3 linked regions of the Drosophila melanogaster genome follow. Changing the gene in region 1 together with any one later gene gives a genetic interaction. Each region holds a gene or a part of one and is shown on either strand. Other genes may lie near its edges. The genes, in order: Hem, Abp1 and dock.

Region 1 (6,676 bases):
CTATGAAGATCCTCGACTTGAACGCCGGAAAGCTCGGCTAACTGCTTGATACTGCCGATAACGACGGTCTCATCACCGCTAGGCGACCTCCAGATAGGAATCGGCGTGCCCCAGTAGCGATTGCGGGAGATCTAGATATATAATTTGATTTAAAAACATAACAAAAAAGTTTCCTTTACAAAACTTACAGCCCAATCTCTGGCCTCTTTCAGCCAGTTTCCAAAACGTTTCTCCTTGACGAAGTCCGGCACCCAGTACGTTTGGGAACTGCAATCAAGCAGGTTTTTAGACATGTGCTCGACGCGCACAAACCAGGAAGGAACCGCCTTATAGATAAGAGGCGTGTCTGACCGCCAGCAGAATGGGTAGCTATGCTTCACCTGGCCACTGGAAACCAAGTTTCCTCGTGCCTTCAGCGCGGCCATTATTTGCTTATCAGAATCTTTGACGTATTGGCCCTCGAAATCGCTTGCCTCGTTAGTAAACCGTCCTGCCTCGTCCACTGGGCAGAGAACCTCACTGGACTTTGTGATGAGGCCCGCAGCGAGGCACACACGATAATCGTCTTCTCCGAAGTAGGGAGCATTGTGCACAATACCCGTACCGGAATCCTCAGTCACGTACTCGTCGACCAGGACACGATAAGCTTTCACCTCAGCTCCTCGCTTCGCAAAGTAAGGGAAAAGCGGCTTGTAGTGAAGGTCCTTAAGGGTTTTGCCAACAAACTTTTCCTTCACTTCGTACTCCGTCTCCGATTTGTACACGTAAGAGAGACGAGACTCTGCGAGAACAAAAAGTCGGTCGCTCTTTACGTCGCGCACTTTTACATAGGTCATCGTCGGATGAACACAGCATGCGAAGTTTGAGGGCAGTGTCCATGGCGTGGTGGTCCACACTAGGAAGAAGGTATTGGGCAACGAAACGGCCTCCAGTGCAACTACTACGCAAGGGTCCACAACCTCCTTGTAGTTTTGGTTGGCCTCGAAGTTCGAAAGGGACGTTGTGCAGGCGGTGGAATAGGGCATCACCTTAACGCCCTGGTAGACCAGACCCTTGTCGAACAGTTGCTTGAAGATCCACCAAATGGACTCCATGTACCATGGGTACAACGTCTTGTAATCGTTCTTGAAGTCAATCCAGCGACCCACGCGCGTCACCACATTCTCCCACTCATCTGCGTAACGCATGACAATCTTCCGGCACTCGGCATTGTAGGCTGCGATTCCCATCTTGGCCACGTCCTCAGGACCCTTGATATTCAGCAGCTTGTCAATCTCGAACTCCACGGGCAGTCCGTGGCAATCCCAGCCGAAGCGACGGTCCACATGGTATCCCTGCTGGTATGCGTACCGTGTGACGATGTCCTTGATGGTGCCAGCAAGAATGTGTCCGTAGTGGGGCAGCCCGGTTGCAAAGGGCGGTCCATCGTAGAACGTGTATCTTGGAGGTGGAAAATTAGCACAAAATTTGGCGATCGGCTGATGCAATCGTATGCGGCACTTACTTGGGCTTTCCCTTCGACAGCTGGCTGCACTTTTCAAAGATATTTTCGTGTCGCCATTTCTGCAGTACGTTCTCCTCCTCGGCCGGGAAATTAATGTTCTCTGGCACCCGACACACGTCGTTCCGCTCTAGTTTTTTTCCCATGGCTGTCAAAGTTCACTGTTGTATTATTTATCAAGTAACAGAGCTTATTCGCCCACCTTTTATATCAGAAATTCAACTGACTTGCGGCGTTTTTGCGTGGCACACAACGTGCCCGAGGTACGGAACTAGTGGTTCATTAATCGCTCTCTAGCTCATGGGTTCGCGATATCGATAGTAGGTTCCGATGAGCGGCATCCTTGATAATCAGCTGACGACAGCACTGAAAAAAAAAGAAAGGCTTATTTACTATTAACAACTTTAATAAATTTGTTAGCCATAAGAATAAAAAACTGAACTGTAAGTTACTAAGTAAGAAAGCCATTGGCAATTGAATGAATAAACTATGCAATAGTTTTGAAAGCAATTATTCCTGACTTAGACAAATAATTCTAATAAATTAAAACCCCAAATACCAGCTATTATTAATTTGTAGTATAACCAAATTACTGTAATATATAATTATAAAAAAATTATCTTAAATTATATTAAGCCATATGTTTTTTTTCTCAGCAGTATATTTTCTTTTTAACAATCAATAGTTTAGCATATATATGGTAGCTATCGTTATCGATAGCAATATATCTTTGCTATCAGCCCATTGGTCATCACTAACGCGAAAACAAGAGGAAGAGTAATGTGTACACTTTTGTGTCGCTCCTTTTCGGCCAATTTAACAAACGAAAAAGTATAAGTACTGGGCAAATCAGCACTTGCACGCCTCCCAATACGTCTCGCCAGCGCACACCTGTGTTCTGGGCTCCACCGGAAACTCGCCTTCAGCCATTCGACGTCGCCAACAGTCATCGGATATGGCACGCCCAATTTTTCCGAACCAGCAGAAGATAGCTGAGAAACTAATCATCTTGAATGACCGCGGCCTGGGCATTCTTACGCGGATATACAACATCAAGAAAGCATGCGGCGACACCAAGTCGAAGCCAGGCTTCCTCTCCGAGAAGTCGTTGGAATCGAGCATCAAGTTTATCGTGAAGCGGTTCCCCAACATCGACGTCAAAGGGCTCAATGCTATTGTAAACATCAAAGCGGAGATTATTAAGTCGCTGTCCCTGTATTACCACACATTCGTGGACCTACTTGATTTCAAGGACAATGTATGCGAACTGCTCACCACGATGGACGCCTGCCAGATTCACCTGGACATCACATTGAACTTCGAGCTGACCAAATATTATCTGGACTTGGTTGTGACCTACGTGTCCTTGATGATTGTTTTGTCTAGGGTCGAGGACCGCAAGGCAGTTCTGGGCTTGTACAATGCCGCCTACGAGCTGCAAAACAATCAGGCGGACACGGGCTTCCCCCGCTTGGGGCAGATGATTCTGGACTACGAGGTCCCCTTAAAAAAGTTGGCCGAGGAATTCATTCCCCACCAGCGCCTGCTAACCAGTGCGTTGCGGTCGCTGACCTCCATCTATGCACTGCGAAACCTGCCAGCAGACAAGTGGAGGGAAATGCAAAAGTTGAGTCTGGTAGGCAATCCGGCCATTCTTCTTAAGGCCGTCCGCACTGACACCATGTCCTGCGAGTACATATCCCTGGAGGCAATGGACCGCTGGATAATCTTTGGCTTGCTGCTGAACCATCAAATGCTCGGACAGTACCCGGAAGTCAACAAAATCTGGCTCTCCGCCCTGGAGTCAAGCTGGGTTGTGGCCTTGTTCCGCGACGAGGTCCTGCAAATTCATCAATACATTCAGGCTACTTTCGACGGAATTAAAGGTTACAGCAAGCGGATCGGAGAAGTAAAGGAAGCCTACAACACGGCGGTTCAAAAAGCTGCTTTAATGCATCGGGAGCGGCGCAAGTTTCTTCGAACAGCCTTGAAGGAGCTAGCTCTTATTATGACCGACCAACCAGGCCTCCTGGGACCTAAGGCAATATTCATTTTCATCGGTCTTTGTCTTGCGCGCGATGAGATTCTATGGCTCCTCAGGCATAATGACAACCCACCTCTTCTCAAAAATAAAGGTTAGTTAAGGATTTTCTTACGATTAAATTAAAATTTGTGAACCTTAACTATTTTAAATTTATAGGAAAGAGCAATGAAGATCTTGTAGACCGACAGCTGCCGGAGCTCTTATTCCACATGGAGGAACTCCGCGCTCTTGTGCGTAAATACAGCCAGGTAATGCAGCGATATTACGTGCAATACTTGTCCGGATTCGATGCCACGGATCTTAATATTCGAATGCAAAGTCTGCAAATGTGTCCAGAAGACGAAAGCATAATCTTCAGTTCGCTCTACAACACGGCTGCAGCCCTGACAGTTAAGCAGGTGGAAGACAACGAACTCTTTTATTTCCGACCATTCCGCCTGGACTGGTTCCGCCTCCAAACGTACATGAGTGTGGGAAAGGCTGCACTTAGGATCGCAGAGCATGCAGAGCTGGCCCGCCTACTGGATTCAATGGTTTTCCACACTAGGGTGGTAGATAACTTGGACGAAATACTAGTAGAAACCTCGGATCTCAGTATCTTCTGTTTCTATAACAAAATGTTTGACGACCAATTCCACATGTGCTTGGAGTTTCCCGCGCAGAACCGCTACATCATAGCGTTTCCCTTAATCTGCAGCCACTTCCAAAATTGTACGCACGAAATGTGCCCGGAGGAGCGACACCATATACGTGAAAGGTCTCTCAGCGTGGTAAATATATTTCTTGAGGAAATGGCTAAGGAGGCTAAAAACATTATAACCACAATTTGCGATGAGCAGTGCACAATGGCAGACGCTCTATTGCCAAAACACTGTGCTAAGATTCTTTCCGTACAATCTGCTCGTAAGAAGAAGGACAAATCGAAGTCTAAGCATTTTGACGACATACGAAAGCCGGGAGACGAGTCGTACCGAAAGACACGAGAGGATCTGACGACGATGGACAAGTTGCACATGGCCCTGACGGAGCTTTGTTTTGCAATCAATTATTGCCCCACGGTCAACGTTTGGGAGTTTGCTTTTGCCCCTCGCGAGTATCTCTGTCAGAACCTGGAACACCGCTTTTCCCGGGATCTTGTTGGCATGGTGATGTTCAACCAGGAGACAATGGAGATAGCCAAGCCCTCGGAGCTGCTGGCCAGCGTTCGAGCCTACATGAACGTGCTGCAGACAGTAGAGAACTACGTGCACATAGACATAACACGAGTTTTCAACAACTGCCTGTTGCAGCAAACACAGGCTTTAGACTCTCATGGCGAGAAAACCATTGCCGCTTTGTACAACACCTGGTACAGTGAGGTTCTGCTAAGGCGTGTCTCCGCTGGCAACATTGTGTTCTCCATTAACCAAAAGGCTTTTGTTCCCATTTCGCCCGAGGGCTGGGTACCATTTAACCCGCAGGAATTCTCTGATCTCAACGAGCTGCGAGCACTTGCAGAACTTGTGGGACCTTACGGTATCAAAACATTGAACGAAACACTTATGTGGCACATAGCAAACCAGGTGCAAGAGTTGAAGTCGCTGGTGAGCACCAACAAGGAAGTGCTCATTACACTGCGAACCAGTTTTGACAAACCTGAAGTGATGAAGGAGCAATTTAAGCGCTTACAGGACGTGGACCGCGTGCTGCAACGCATGACGATCATTGGTGTGATCATATGTTTCCGCAACCTGGTGCATGAAGCCCTCGTTGATGTGCTGGACAAGCGCATACCCTTCCTGCTTAGCTCAGTGAAGGACTTTCAGGAACATTTGCCCGGAGGCGACCAAATTAGGGTTGCTTCCGAGATGGCCTCAGCAGCGGGTCTGCTATGCAAGGTAGACCCCACATTAGCAACTACACTGAAATCAAAAAAGCCAGAATTCGATGAGGGTGAGCACCTCACTGCCTGTCTACTGATGGTCTTTGTGGCAGTGTCTATACCAAAACTGGCCCGTAACGAAAATTCCTTCTACAGAGCCACAATTGATGGCCACTCAAATAACACGCACTGCATGGCGGCGGCCATTAATAACATCTTCGGAGCCCTGTTTACCATCTGCGGTCAAAGTGACATGGAGGACCGCATGAAAGAGTTCCTTGCTCTGGCCAGTTCTTCCCTACTGCGCTTGGGCCAGGAGTCCGACAAAGAGGCGACACGGAACCGAGAGTCCATCTATTTGCTGCTGGACGAAATCGTCAAACAATCGCCCTTCCTCACAATGGATCTGCTTGAGTCCTGCTTTCCCTACGTGCTTATACGCAACGCGTACCATGGCGTATACAAGCAGGAACAGATCTTAGGGCTGGCACTCTAAATGGAGCCGATCTGTGTATTCCACATAATGCTTATGTAGTTTATCCGCCGATCGACTATCGATCACTATGCTAATCTAACATACTTTAAAACTGTTAAACATACCCAAATGTATTCTAGACTCTGCATTTTTATACTCGTACGACTTCGAATAAAGTGCTTATACAACCCAAATAAGTATCCCACATTAATAAGCTGTCTCTAGATCGGATCGGTATGTATATTCTTTATTTCGGCTTATTGAAATATGTGTCCACTCCCGCGAACGTGCAGCTCCTCCGCTTCAATTTCTGTTAAATTTCATTTGGACACATGCGCACACGTGTGTGTATATTAAATATGAGTTTGGGGGAAAAATCTTCCGCAATATTAAATTATTTGGTCACGTTCAATGTTACTTTGTAGGCTTGTGTACAAATACTTGTAGGCAAGTAGTAAAATATGTTTTCGTTATTTTGTAATATGATTTCTCAGTAGTTATCATTGGTAGTATTTAAATTTCGATTTTGAGTTTTCAATTCCGATACAAAGACTTTTATGCAATGATTTATTATTGTTTTTAATTCTTTTTGAATTACATGATCTGGGATAGGTTCTTTTTCACGGATGGTTAAATGATAAGTTTTGCAAACCGAAATCGGGTAAGTAGGGCATCTTTTCAAATCTGCTCGTAATCAACATAGGCCTAAACATCTACAAATGGGTTCGGTTAAATGTACCAAAATCACTACACTCTGCTAAAAAGCTGTCAATATTTGAGTTTACATCTGTATTT
Region 2 (5,478 bases), 8.8 Mb from region 1:
TGGAGCACGCAGAAGGGTCTGCGACTGGATACACTGAGAGGAGTTAGAGCCCAATAGCAAATCTGAATTCAAAGATTAAATGTAATATGGCAAAATGTGATAACAAACAGCACCTCTGATTGGTAGCATACGAAGTATGTGAATAATAATCAGATTACATTTGGGAATTCATTAACTAGGCATGAAATCGTTTGCAAAACGTTTTGTTACATTTTGTTTCTTTATATAATGTGACTTTGATAGTCTAGAATATAATGATGTTTTTATGTAAGCAAAAATCTTGACATCTATTAAGACTTATCAGTTTAGCAGACTTGTAGAGTTTTCCAAGTTCATTCACATTAAATCCATTCAGAAATTATTTTAAATTTGTAAAGAGCTACTACTAATTTGAATCACTGCTTTACATTCCCATGAATGTTTTAGACGCAAGATGTTCATATTACTGGGCATTTCTTTCTGTGTCTGACACATTGTTGAAATACTTTCCGAGTCTTCTTGGCTCAAAGGTGAAAGCCATAAAAGAGCTGTGTATAACCCCCACCCCCACTGCCCCGTTTGGGTTGAGTACATCAGGGCATGTTGTTGGCCAAGTTGAAATCATAAAAATTGTCGACTCTTTTTAAACGGAATTGGTTAATGGCTCCAGTTGGTGTTTTTTTGTTGGTCTGTAAGTCTGGGTCGGATCGGTTTGTTCACTTACCGCTGGGATTGTTTTGCACCATGGTCGCCGCTCTAGAGAGTACATCCAGCGCCGTTTCCATGATGATCTCAACGCTTCTACGTGGGATTGGACGTGGATTTGGAGTTGGACTTGGACTTGGTTTCGCTGCTCCTGCACCGACTCGATCTGCACCGCATGAGTTTCACACTGAAAATGCAAAGAAATTGACCATGAACAGCCGCACCACACACACTTAAGCCGCACACACATCTCTCTCGTATGTGTGCCTTACAATATATACACCGAGATATCCAAGTGAAAAACTGGATATATCGCCCGAGCCTGGCATTGGCATATATGTAAATGGAACAAAACCAAAACCAAAGCCAAAACCAAACCAAAGCGAACAAAGACTGACTGCCTGACTGGCTGACTTGAAACAAGTAAGACGAAGGCGAAATCCTGCTGCCAAACAGTTGCCATCTGATCGGAAAGCTGTGGAAGTGGATGCTGATGAGGGGACATGCACGGTGGCGGGGCGGTGAGGGGCCACGATGCACTTGGGACTGGTTTTTTTCGGAGGCCCCAAGACCAAGAGTTCGGGGGCTGCTCCGTTGAATATTTCGGCAATGACCAAAGTACAGCAGCCAGAGCCATATTGTTGCTAGCCAGTCAGCCAACCATACAGCCAGCCAGCATCCGACGTCTAGTTTCCACATTAATATACGTAAATATCAGGCCACAACAGTGGAGCCACTTTACCTTTCGCCAGGTGTGCGCCTTCAAATCCTCGCTGGAATCCTGCTCCTCAGCTGTACGGCGATTTATCCTCGCTAATTTTCACCGACTTTTCACGATTTGCGCTGGGAAAAGCGGGGGTTCGATGATTTTTGGTATAATTGCAATAATAGTTCAGTTCGCGTTAGAGCTGGAAGATACGTCGATGTAACATCGATGGCCAAAGTCATCAGTCTGTATTCACATCGATATTTGCTCAGCCTTACCAACACTAATATTGTTCAGCGGTGACTTAAGCCCACATATAACATTAGCGTTGACTCGAACCATTTTTAGAAAACTTAATGTACAAACAATGTAAACATACCTAACAACCTAAAACATATTATTTGTCAATAGTATTTGCAAAGTATATTATAAGCAAATATAAAGGTTATGATATGAATAAACACCATATACCAGTTTTTTCCATTGGATAGAGATACAAAAAAGTTGAATAAAATATAAAAACGAAAAATGTTCGTATGTGTGATTATTAAAAAAGAAGATAATGCTTATATATATAGTTGAAACTTTACGACTAACACCTATAAGAAAAACGATAAAGTAAATCAAAGCCTATTAGACGAGGTACACGTTACTAGATACGTTCTAAAACCTCTGTTATTTAATTTCAATTTTACAAGTAAAAACCATCGATAGCGGCACAGTGGCAACATTGAAAGTATCGATTAGACATCGCCTGTTGTCCCAGCTCTAGTTTGTTGTTGCAAAAAAAGTGTGTGGGTCGCCGCCAGCGATCGAATATTTTAAAATTCCAATCAAATTGGTTAATTGGGGAGTTGCAATTGCTTGAGCGTTAAGTTAAACCTATTTCTGCACGCATAACTCGAAGGATTAAGGTGGAAAAGTGGAATTTGGAAAGCCGCTGGAAATTCGCACATACTGGAAAATCAATCACCCACTATCCCATTGTTCTGCTTGTGTTTGTGTACGTCTGTGTGCCTTTGTGAGGCGGCTGCACTTAATTAAAATTTAAGACAAGACAACCCAAGCAAATTTGGAGTCTTCGCGAGGCGTTGGCTTTCACTTGACGAAGAGGGCACCCCGATAAGGCGACCCAGTGAAAGCTGGCCAAGATCTCGCTGCTCAAGGTCGTTGTCAGTCTGGAATTATGGCCGTCAGCTTCGAGAAGAATCGGGCGCAAATAGTGGCCGCCTGGAAGGATGTGCTGGACGATAAGAGCGACACGAACTGGTCCCTCTTTGGCTACGAGGGTCAGACCAACGAGCTGAAGGTGGTGGCCACCGGCGATGGCGGCGTGGATGAGCTAAACGAAGACCTAAATAGCGGCAAGATTATGTACGCCTTCGTCCGAATCGAAGACCCCAAAACGGGCCTCAACAAGTACTTGCTCATCAACTGGCAGGTGAGTCCGACGGCGCCCTTATCTAATCGAGCTACGCATAATCTGACTGTGCTCCCATTCAGGGCGAGGGCGCACCTGTTCTACGCAAGGGTACCTGCGCCAACCACATACGTGATGTGAGTAATTTGCTGTCCGGCGCTCACCTTACCATCAATGCCCGGAACGAGGACGATATTGACTTGGATCGGCTTCTCAAGAAGCTGAGCACCGTGAGCTCAGCCTACAGCTTTAAGGAACCTCGAGGCGCCATGGAGGAGCAGAAGGCGCCGGTGGGAACCAACTATACTCGGGTCATTCCCACCAAGGAGTTAAACGCCAGCGTTATGCAGGACTTCTGGAAAAAGGAGGAGGCCGAGGAGAAATTGCGACAGGAGGCAGAGAAGGAATCCAAGCGGCTTGAGCTTCAAAAGTTGGAGCAGGAGCAACGTAGTCGCGAGGAGAAGGAGCACAAGGAGCGGGAGAAGTTGGTCATAAGCACCACCAAGCTCCAGCCGGCCCACGTACCCATCAAAACGTAAACAAAAACATCGGAATTTGACCTTCTCGGTAGTAAAAATTCTTTTTTTATCAAACAGGTCACCGCAACCTTTGAGCCCTGAGAAAACTGCACCAGGATTTGCCAACAATCTGACCGATGCGGAGCGCATGCGTCAGGCGAGGAACCAGGAGGCCCGCGAATTGATTGGCTCTCGTGTGGGTGCTGCCAAGGCCATGTTTACAAAGCACACGAGCGAGGGACAACTTCAGTCTAAGTGCGTCCTTGCCCCTCTCCTATTTTGTTGTATCAGAAATAAACTGCTCTTTTGATTCATAGACTAAATACGCAACCGCCGGCCAAACCAGCTCGCAACTCGATTGCCCAGCGCATCAACGTTTTCAACCAAAACCAGCCTCAAGATGCACCTGTGCCTTCACCACCACGCGCTGCGTCCCCTGCCAAACCGTTGCCTGTAGAGGCTCCCGAACCAGTAGTCCCCGCTCCAGCTATAGCTCCTGCTGCTCCCGTGGCTGCCGAGGTTGTTTCCACAATAGCGGAGGTGGAGGAGTCGCAACCGGTAGACGATTTGCCACTGGCCCATGAGAGCGAACAGTTCTCGACTATCAAGCGATCACCCCATAGTAAATCGAACTCGCTGCAGTCTCAGTCGCCCGACGAGACCACCTCTTCCAATGAAACAGACACCGCTGTTTCCCAGGAACAGGAAGAGGAGGTCCGCACCAAGGTGTCAGTCACCGTGCAGCAGTCGCAATCGGTCAAGTCGAGCGGCATGAGCACACTCGAAAGGAATGCATGTACGTAAACCATAGCTATGACCCGTTGTTCGTTCTATATTTAAACACGAGTGTTTTTTGTAGTAACGGATTTGGTAAACGAGGACGATTTTATCTGCCAGGAGACCTTAGGCGATCTGGGACAACGGGCACGAGCTCTATACGATTACCAGGCAGCCGACGAGACAGAGATCACTTTCGATCCAGGCGATGTCATTACGCATATCGATCAAATCGACGAGGGATGGTGGCAGGGACTGGGCCCTGATGGAACCTATGGACTGTTTCCGGCAAACTATGTCGAGATCATCAACTAGGGAAACCCAAGTGCCAAGCAGCTGGGACGCCCTTTTGCTAAATATCTACACCAATGCAGCTAGCAACTATATTTTGGATCCGGACTATAGCTACTTAAACACTTTACCCCATAATCTTGAACAATAATGCGATACACCTAGAAGAGATTCAACGATGACTAAATGCGACTATAAGATTTTTATCGTACATCACGCGTCTGTTTTTTATCTACATACATATTATTATATAACGTATAATCCATGCCACATATGCAACCCTATCATACGTTGTTCCCATTTGTATACATATTATATCATTGTTTGGCCTCGATTGCCGAAGCCGTGTTGCGTCCTTTTAAAATGTTCTTAGGATACATACAAAGTAACCACTTAGTCAGTATTTAAGGCCCGCTCCATTCCCGATCCAGGGTTCTTTTGTATATGTATTATTGATCGAGATTTATAACCTTTTCGATAATAAACTTTGATAATTGTGCAACCGAAGGATAACACAGTTTTATGGTCAACAATATCTACATTTATTTTCGCATTAATTAGTAGCATAAATAGTTATCATAGTTTTTTTTTTTTTTCTATAAGAGTTTACGTTCGTTTAACAATTCACCTGCAGCAAAGCCGTGAGTGGTGCACTCGGCGTGATTGGATGGATGAGTTGGCCTGTGGCAAGCAAGCGCGTCTGCTGTAGATTTGTATGAGATCATACGGCGGCTTGCTGCCCCTGTTGCTGCTCATCGGTACAATTTACGTATAAAAACTGGACTCAGGTTCAAAAATATCCTCATGGTGATCATCTATCGCTTAAACATAATCAGCTCTTTTAAGTGAAGCAACCCTTGTTGCCAAATCGTTTTCGCTCTGTTAACTTCCGAATTCTATGCAGGCACATTTTCTCAATATTAATTCTCTTACTAGCCTATAATCTACGCTGTGTGGTGTGTGTGTGTGTGTGTGTGTGTTATGATGTGTGGGGATGAGTGGGTGTTGAGTGGTTGACACGTGAGATTTGCATATGTTTAGATAGTACGGTTGTGCTTCTACGAAATACTAGCAAAGATTCG
Region 3 (7,898 bases), on another chromosome or scaffold:
GAACTATATTGAACTACACGTCGCGCTGAGCTGAGCTGCCTACAAGTTAGCCTTGGTATATCTTTGTGTTGCATATGTGTGTTGTTGAATACGGGTAATATGAATGCTGAGATTTCTCTGCTCCAGTCCTGGACCTGCTTACGTGCCATTGGCCTTCGGCAGCGATCGCACCAGATACAGCTTTTCGCCCTGCTTATTCGTGTAGATGGGCGCTCTTTGGTAGTGATCGACCAGTTGGTCCAGCGAGTGGAACTTCCTCTGCCCAATGCAGTACATGTTCTGCTCCACGTGCACGCGGAAGTGCTTGTTGCGCCCTGGGGCCTTTAACGAAACCGAATAGTCTCCCATCTGCAAGAAAGGATGAATTCGTTTATACACTCTCAAAGAATTCGGGCGGAACTATGTTATGGCACTTCAATTGCGAATTCCACTTACGTTAGTCTCACTGTCTCTGATGAGGAAGTCGCCATCGTGCCCGTGGCCGTTGAGCACCGTGTCGCACTGGCTGCGGGTGATGGCTCCATAATACCACGACTTGCCCGCCAGATTTGGCCGCTCGATTGGCTGGCCGGAAGATTGCGCCGCCGGCTTATTACCCTCATTGCGCCGCTCCATGGAGTCGTTTCCTCCGCCACCACCTGCGCCGCCATTACTTCCTCCTCCATTTCCGTTTCCTGCACTGGCACTCGCATTACGATAGGGCGTGGCCAGGTAGTCGTTCAACTCTTGGAGATAATTGCGTGGAACTAAACCGACTTGGCCCTGATTGTTGCGAGCTTTGTACCAGTCCGGATCGGAGGCGGGCCGATCCACGATCTCCAAGCGATCGCCCTTCTCGAACGAGAGCTCCTGGTCGTTGTTTGACGTGAAGCTGTACAGCGCGACCTATATATTTGAAAATAGTTGTTATTAGCCAATAATGACAACCTCTCATAGATGATGTGAATGTTTATTTTGAGAACACGTCCAGTTACTCACCACAATATCAAGCACGTTCTCGGCCATTGCGTAGGTGTGGATCTCGCCGTCGTTATCACAATCCTCCGTTGTGTAGTTGCTGGGGAACCAGCCGACGGAATTGCCGCTCTGTCCACGCCACCATCCATCGTTGGACTTCTCCAGGATGAGGATTCGTGTGCCCTTGGTCAGCGAAAGTTCATCGGGCTGCTGGGCCTGATAGTTATACTTGACCACAGCCGTTCCGATGGCCTCTGCGGGATCTGGGGGAAGTCGGCGCGACATGGTTGGACTCTCGACCTGTCGCGAAGGCGAACAATTAGGCAGTGTCTTCGATCCGGAGCCCTTTTTCACCTTCTTCTTAATGCTGCACAGAAATCGTAAATCAAAATATTCACGATCAGTATTGGGATGAAGTTTTATGGTTAGATTTCATTGGCGGTTTAAAGTGGGTTAGACTAGCCCTAGTTGGTTTGGGTGTTAGTGGATCTTTAGTTTTTAGGGGCAAGTGGGGCTCGACAGACAACGAAATCAAAACGAATTTGTTGTTTTGAAATACAAAATACAAAAGCCGAAAGCAGTTATAAGTTAAATTACGATAGCCAAAGCAAAAGGTGGAGGCGGGTATTTGAACGCGATAGAGATACAGATACATCTACGGATACGGATACAGATACAGGTATAGAGGGCTTAATTCTGCTGAAATCAGAGCAAGAAGAACGCTTAGGTTTAGTCGGGCCAGGAATCTGACGCACCTGTCGAAGAGCGAGGGCTTCTCCTTCTTCACATAGTTGCTTGGCACGTAGCCGGACTGGTTGCGACTGTTCTGGACGCGCCACCAGTGCTTGGAGTCGTCCAGCAGCAGGTAGCGCTCGTTCTTGCGCAGATCCAGCTCCTGGGCACCCTGCGCCGCATAGTCGTACTTGGCTACCACGTAGCAGACGTCGTCCTGAGATTTGCCTGCGGAGTGATTAACAGGAACAGGTTAGAAGAGTACCAAGTGCACACACAGTTAGAAAAGCAAAATGGGCCAGTATGATAGAACCACAAATTCATTAGCATACAAATCCTAGATCCTTTTACTACACCCAATGCTCTTCTCGCTGTGAGGTTATTGTGTTGCAGTTGCTCACCGTGCTTCATGTTGCCCGCCATTGATTGGGTTCCAGCGTTGCCGGCGGCACTGCCACTGGAGGAGTTGCCGCTACCGCTTCCGTTGGCGCTTCCGCTGCCGTTGCCGCCGCAGTCGAGCGCTGGCTGGCCGAAGGTCACACTTTTGTGCTGGGCGCTGCAGGAGGAGGCGGTGGACAGGGTGCGGTGGTGGTGCAACTGCTGTTGCTGGGAGAGCGAAGAGTGCCGCTGGTGATGGGCAGGTGAGCCGGGAACGGGCACGGGCACCTGGGGACGGTACTGGTAGATCTGATTCTGGTTCAGGTTCTGATTCTGGTTGAGATTCAGATTCTGGTGCTGCGGCAGCTGTGGCGGATGCTGCTGCTGCTGCGGATACTGCTGCGAACTGGCTGAGGAGTCGGGGATGTTGCGCACAAACCGCTGGGGGTGTTCCAACATTCCAGACTGGCTGCTCCTCCGCCGCGGGGGGATTCCTGCTCCTCCAGCTGGGACTGCCCTGATGCTCCTGGTGATGCTCCTGGAGGCAAGAGGCGGTGGCTCAGTGTTGGTGGACTTGGAGTTGGGGTTGGAGTTGATGAACAACAAGTCTTTGATGGTTTGGTTATGTGTTGCAGTTGCTCGCTGGCACTCTAAGCTTGCTGCAAATCGCCTCTAGCCAATGCATAATTGCTGTGGGCGTGGTTTCAGGGGGCGAATGGGCGTGAGCGTGGGCGGAAGCGTAGGCGTGGCAAAGTAAACATAAGCAACGCAATAACATAAGCAACGAACGAAGAAAGAAAGAAAAAGAGAGCAAATGATATATGCAAATTAGGCTTAATTGTTTCGCACTGAAGAAGCTAAAGAGCGTAAAAATGATTAGCTTAAAAAATACAATGCAAGTACTCAAACTCGAAATACCAAATAGGAAATCAACTCAAAATTAGCCGAGAGATGAATGTTTGTTTTTGGGGTCAGCGAGCCGGCGATGAAGATGAATGAGTGAAGTGTTTGTGTTGTGATGATCATGATGATGATAATATGAGCGGGAGATGGATATGGGGGCTGAGGGATCTGGCCATTCCAGTTGTGGGGCAATTAAAATCTGTGCAAGTGAAAGTTGCCTCCGACTGACTCCACTCAATTGAATCCAATTGCCAGGCGAGCGAATAAGTGGCCATCGGGTATTGATTTGTTCAACGGGGCAGCCTCACCGAGGCTGGAGAACCAGAGACTCAAAATCCGGGCCATTTCAGGCCAAGAAAGACACAGAAATCAACTGAGACATTCGACCGCAATGAGTCACGAACGTGAATGGTCGGGGGTATTGGGAAATTGGTTTCTTAACCGAGATTTACCGAGTGACATAAGGCAGTTAGCGGGCGGCACAGAAGGTTATTTCGGCCAGAGATCTCTAGAGAGGCTTCCCGAGTTCGTTGGCCAGGTTGGCGAGCCAACAAAATCAAAGTCAATGTCATAGCCGAGGGCCATCTTTGGATAATTAAAAATCAATAAGTGTGGGCCACGTTGAGAAAACGCTCTACTCGGTCTTTGACTCTAGGCCAATCTTGGTTTCGCTTTTCAATGACTGTTAGGTCATACACGAGAGGCTGAGTCAGCTGAAAGTGTTTTCGAGAGCTCTAATGCCATTCAATTCTGGCATTTCGGTGCAATATCTATTAGCAACTGACCCATACGTATATAATAAGAAATGCAGGCAATGCATAAATTTGTTTTGCCGGTAAACTTCTAATCGTGCTTCCTGTTCGAATTTTGGCCATAATAATCTCCATGTGATAACGAGTGTTTTTGTTTACTTTACCATCGATTAGTCAAAGGTTTTTGCGTTAGCTAGAGATACGGAGAAGTACCTGTTTAACCGAAGCATTGGTCGCAAAGTGATTCACTGTTGTGCGAATTGTCTGTGTGTTTTCCCTATTTTTTGAGAGGAGAAAGCGGGAGTGAAACCGTAACCGAACCCAGATAGAAACGGAGAAAGAACCCGAAAAAGATTATATTTATGCAAATGCTGGAGTGATAAGGGGGCGGTTCAGTTCGGTTCGCTTGGGGACTTGGTAAACATGAAACGCCTGGCTGGCTGGCTGGCTGCCAATGAACTGAAATGCACCACCGTTGGATTCGGATCGGTGTTTGGATTTCTTTGGCTTGGTGATTGTTTTGTTATTGTTTGCGCTTGCATAAGCCCAACAGCCGAGACATTGACATTACACTGCTGATAAAATCCGAAGAAATCGGAAGGAACTTGCTGATAAGTTCGTTAGCGCGGAGAAATTGTCAAAAAATATATTATGAACTATGATTTGATAAGATTCCCTACTGCTACTGCAATAAATGAATATATATTTTTAAAGAATTCTTTGTGGTATGATTTCTTAGCTTCCCGTATGACAAACATTTATGTTTTTTTCCGGTGCACTCGTTCATTGTTTTCCTGACAGCAGTTCGTCTTTTCGCTGAGAGAAAGAAAGAGTTGCACGTGCTTGGGGGACAAGCCCACAAGTTTATGAGGCGGAAAGTTTGTTTCCCCGTGCTGTGTCTGTGTATTGGTTGAAGATCGGTTCCAGACGAGGGAGTATAGTCATTGGTCCCCAAGAAAAGCCATCACGAACGAATTGGTGGCCCCGAAACGGGAGCATTTGGGTCTATAACATTGAGTTACGACTTCGGTGGATGGATGGGGCAGCCATGGAGGAACTGAAAGTGGGGCACTCTTATCTGGATCTCGGGGCGTGGGAGGCAAAGGGCAGCCTGTTTACATAAGATCACTCATTCAGGGAGCTGGGAGTCCACTCCCGCCCGGGTTGATTAAGTAGATGCTTTTGCTGGGGAATGGGATTCGAATGGGGTTTCGGTTTCGGTTTTGTTTTTTGTATTTTGTATTTTTTTTTTGGCTTTTGTTGCCGAGGGAGTTTGCGACATTTGCCGGCCGTTTCGTTTAGAGATGCTGCGCAAAATCTCTGCGAGGTGGTGGCTTTTTGGCAGCGAGAGGGTGGACTTCTCGTCCTGCAAAGGATGGCAGGACTCGTTCCCAGTGTTGTTAAGAGTACAAGCTTTTGTACCTGGCACAGGCTTTTGAAAAACACAAGTACCTACTATAGTAGTATTTGAGCAATGAACATATTATAGATTTATGGTAAGTGAAGCATCTTCACGATTTATCTGTTTCATCTATCTAGACAAGGGAAAGGGTACATATGTACACACATATATATCGGTGGCACAGTTTGCCGTAAACACGACCATGGTTACCCAAAAAAAGGTGATGGAAAGCGGAGGGCTAAGGGTTGCAGCACCGCCCACTGGGCGGGTGGTGGACCGAGCCAAAGGACTACGCACCACCAGGTGACGAGGGCGAGATAAAGAGAGAGAGCGCAGGTCAAGAGAGAGAGAGAGAGAGCCGAGAGAGAGAGCCGTGAGAGATTCGAACAGGAGCTAAAAAGGAGCAGCCGAATATTTTGTGTGTACCTACCGGAGACGAAGCGGTTGGACTGGCAACTCCTATATTCCTCCTGGATCTCCTTATCCTGGCACTCCTTATCCGTATCCGTATCCTTATCCGGAAAGTCGGAGTCCGTATTTCTCGGTCTTAACCCTTGGCAATCCTCAGGATTTGGGAGTGGAAGACATGGGATAAGACACTGCTCCTGGAACTCCTGGAACGCACTCTATATCACTTCCACTTTCCACTGGGCTATTGCACTTTACACACACTTAAAACACAACTTTAATTATAATACACCTAGGCGTGAGTGTGTGTGTGTGAGTGGGGCGGGGGTGAGCCTGTGTGTGTGTACATATGCTGCTGCCGCGATTGAAAAACACACAAATCCTGACAAATAAACGCTTTTCCACGCTTCTGATTACCGCACACGTTAACTGCGTTAAGTGGCAAATTGTTTGCACAATTTTGCAGCGCTCTCTTGCGGTTAACTAATTAAATTTTAATGATTTTGCCGGAGCCGTTTCTTTCACGTCGCCCATCCGATTTCGATGTGCGGAAGGCGATAGCGATTGACCACGACCAGGGCTGTCAGGTGGCGTATCAGCGGTTTTTCTTAGCGAACTATCGATAAGCACGTTGCGCGCTGTGCAGCACTTGTCCGGTCATCGGGTCTATCGATATCGGGTGGCGTTTTTGTTATGATTTTGGATTACATGGTTGGTTTAACCCGAAATACCATGCTGAAAACTCGGGGTATTGTGCTTGGCATCAGCAGGTCGTACACCGCCAAGGCGAAGAGGGGTGTGCTGGCGCAGGACAAGTCGAAGATCAAGGAGTACTCACCGAAGACGACGGACAGCCATGAGCACCGAGTTTACGTGTGGGGCTTTCAGGAAACCGGCGCTCTCGGTCTCCAGACCAACGTGAAGAAGGCCAAGGAACGCTACACGGAGATGGTGCACCATCCCACCCGCTTGCAGTTCTCCAACAACAACGAAATCACGGATGTGGCCGCCGGCTACGGGTTCACGGTCTACGCCGTGAATAGAGATGACGGAGAGACGCTCTTTGGCAGCGGTTTGAACACCGACTCCCAACTGGGTTTCCAGGTGAAGGGAAATCCCAATGATCCGGCCAACCTTGACGTGATCATTTATCCTACAGCCATTAAACTGCCGAGAGTTCAGGGAGAAACAGACGAGGACATGCGTGTGAAGAGCATGTCGGCGGGTAGAGCTCACCTGGTGGTTCTGACCCAAAACGGAACCATTTTCACCCTGGGAAACAATTCGTACGGCCAATGTGGCCGCTCCATCATAGAGGAGGAGCGGTACAGCAAGAGTGCCCTGATCCACAGGATATCGCAGGAAGATATATGCGGCAAGGAGGATGAGGTGGTCCAGGTGGAGTGCGGCCAGGACCACAGCATGTTTCTTACCAAAAAGGGACGCATTTACACATGTGGCTGGGGTGCGGATGGTCAAACAGGTCAGGGAAACTACCACACCGCCGGGCAGATAACCCTGATTGGAGGAGATGTGGAAAAGGAGAAGATTGTGCGGCTCAGCTGCTCCTCGGACTGCGTTTTGGCCCTTAACGAGGCGGGCGATGCCTTTGGCTGGGGCAATTCTGAGTACGGACAGCTAGATGACTCAGAGCTGGCCGAAACCCAAATAAATATCCCTAGAGCTCTCAAACTAACGAAGTCCATCGGGAAAATCAAGGATGTGGCTGCGGGAGGCTCATTTTGCATGGCCCTCAACGACCAGGGTCTGGTGTACACCTGGGGCTTTGGCATCCTCGGCTTCGGACCCTTCGTGGAGCAAACATCCAAGCCGCAGCATCTGTTGCCGCCTTTATTCGGACGAAATGACTTCAGCAACGAAACCACAGTGGTTTCCATCGGATGCGGAGTGTTTCACATGGGCGCCGTCAACTCGGACGGAGATCTCTTCATGTGGGGCAAGAACAGGTTCGGGCATCTGGGGCTGGGACACAAGAAGGACCAGTTCTTTCCCTTTAAGGCGGCCATCAACGGAAAGGTCACCAAAGTGGCCTACGGAGTGGATCACACCATTGCCTTGTGCAAGCCGTTCTTCTAGATTAAGCTGTTTGTTTTAGATTAGTTAACTTAAAGTATACTCTAGTCGAAAATACTATTGCCAGTGGCAGCCCAACCAATAAAGATCACACTGCTAAAGATCACAAATTCGCGTTTAATACATGTAAGTAGTTTAAAGAACATTTAGATTAATTTACTTGTTTCTCTTACGCATGCTGATAGTTGCCATGTTTTCCGCCCTCAGGTTGTTTTTGCTGTAAATAGCTTCGTTCTGAATCCGTTCTATACATTAATTGTTAGAATAGAGTT

What was found.
Region 2: of Hem (region 1) and Abp1, changing one enhances a phenotype caused by changing the other (phenotypic enhancement), as found in Drosophila melanogaster (one study listed by BioGRID).
Region 3: of Hem (region 1) and dock, changing one enhances a phenotype caused by changing the other (phenotypic enhancement), as found in Drosophila melanogaster (one study listed by BioGRID).

Annotation. Positions count from the first base shown.
Region 1 is NT_037436.4:22,283,768-22,290,443, reverse strand, and holds Hem (HEM-protein), read left to right. Parts: upstream 1-2,248; 5' UTR 2,249-2,456; coding exon 2,457-3,636; intron 3,637-3,701; coding exon 3,702-5,902; 3' UTR 5,903-6,090; downstream 6,091-6,676. Other genes in the region: IleRS (Isoleucyl-tRNA synthetase), read right to left, coding at 1-131, 189-1,440, 1,505-1,647. UniProt on the Drosophila melanogaster protein: Plays a role during growth of the oocyte.
Region 2 is NT_037436.4:13,482,956-13,488,433, reverse strand, and holds Abp1 (actin binding protein 1), read left to right. Parts: upstream 1-2,153; 5' UTR 2,154-2,576; coding exon 2,577-2,831; intron 2,832-2,893; coding exon 2,894-3,345; intron 3,346-3,406; coding exon 3,407-3,583; intron 3,584-3,645; coding exon 3,646-4,124; intron 4,125-4,187; coding exon 4,188-4,420; 3' UTR 4,421-4,901; downstream 4,902-5,478.
Region 3 is NT_033779.5:824,164-832,061, reverse strand, and holds the start of dock (dreadlocks), read right to left. Parts: upstream 6,094-7,898; 5' UTR 5,555-6,093; intron 2,758-5,554; exon of another isoform or gene 2,606-2,757; 5' UTR 2,527-2,605; coding exon 2,091-2,526; intron 1,918-2,090; coding exon 1,713-1,917; intron 1,325-1,712; coding exon 979-1,324; intron 886-978; coding exon 436-885; intron 349-435; coding exon 139-348; 3' UTR 1-138. Other genes in the region: CG3862 (uncharacterized protein), read left to right, coding at 6,265-7,629. UniProt on the Drosophila melanogaster protein: Adapter protein that links cell surface receptor tyrosine phosphorylation to downstream signaling pathways and effectors, many of which are involved in regulation of the actin cytoskeleton.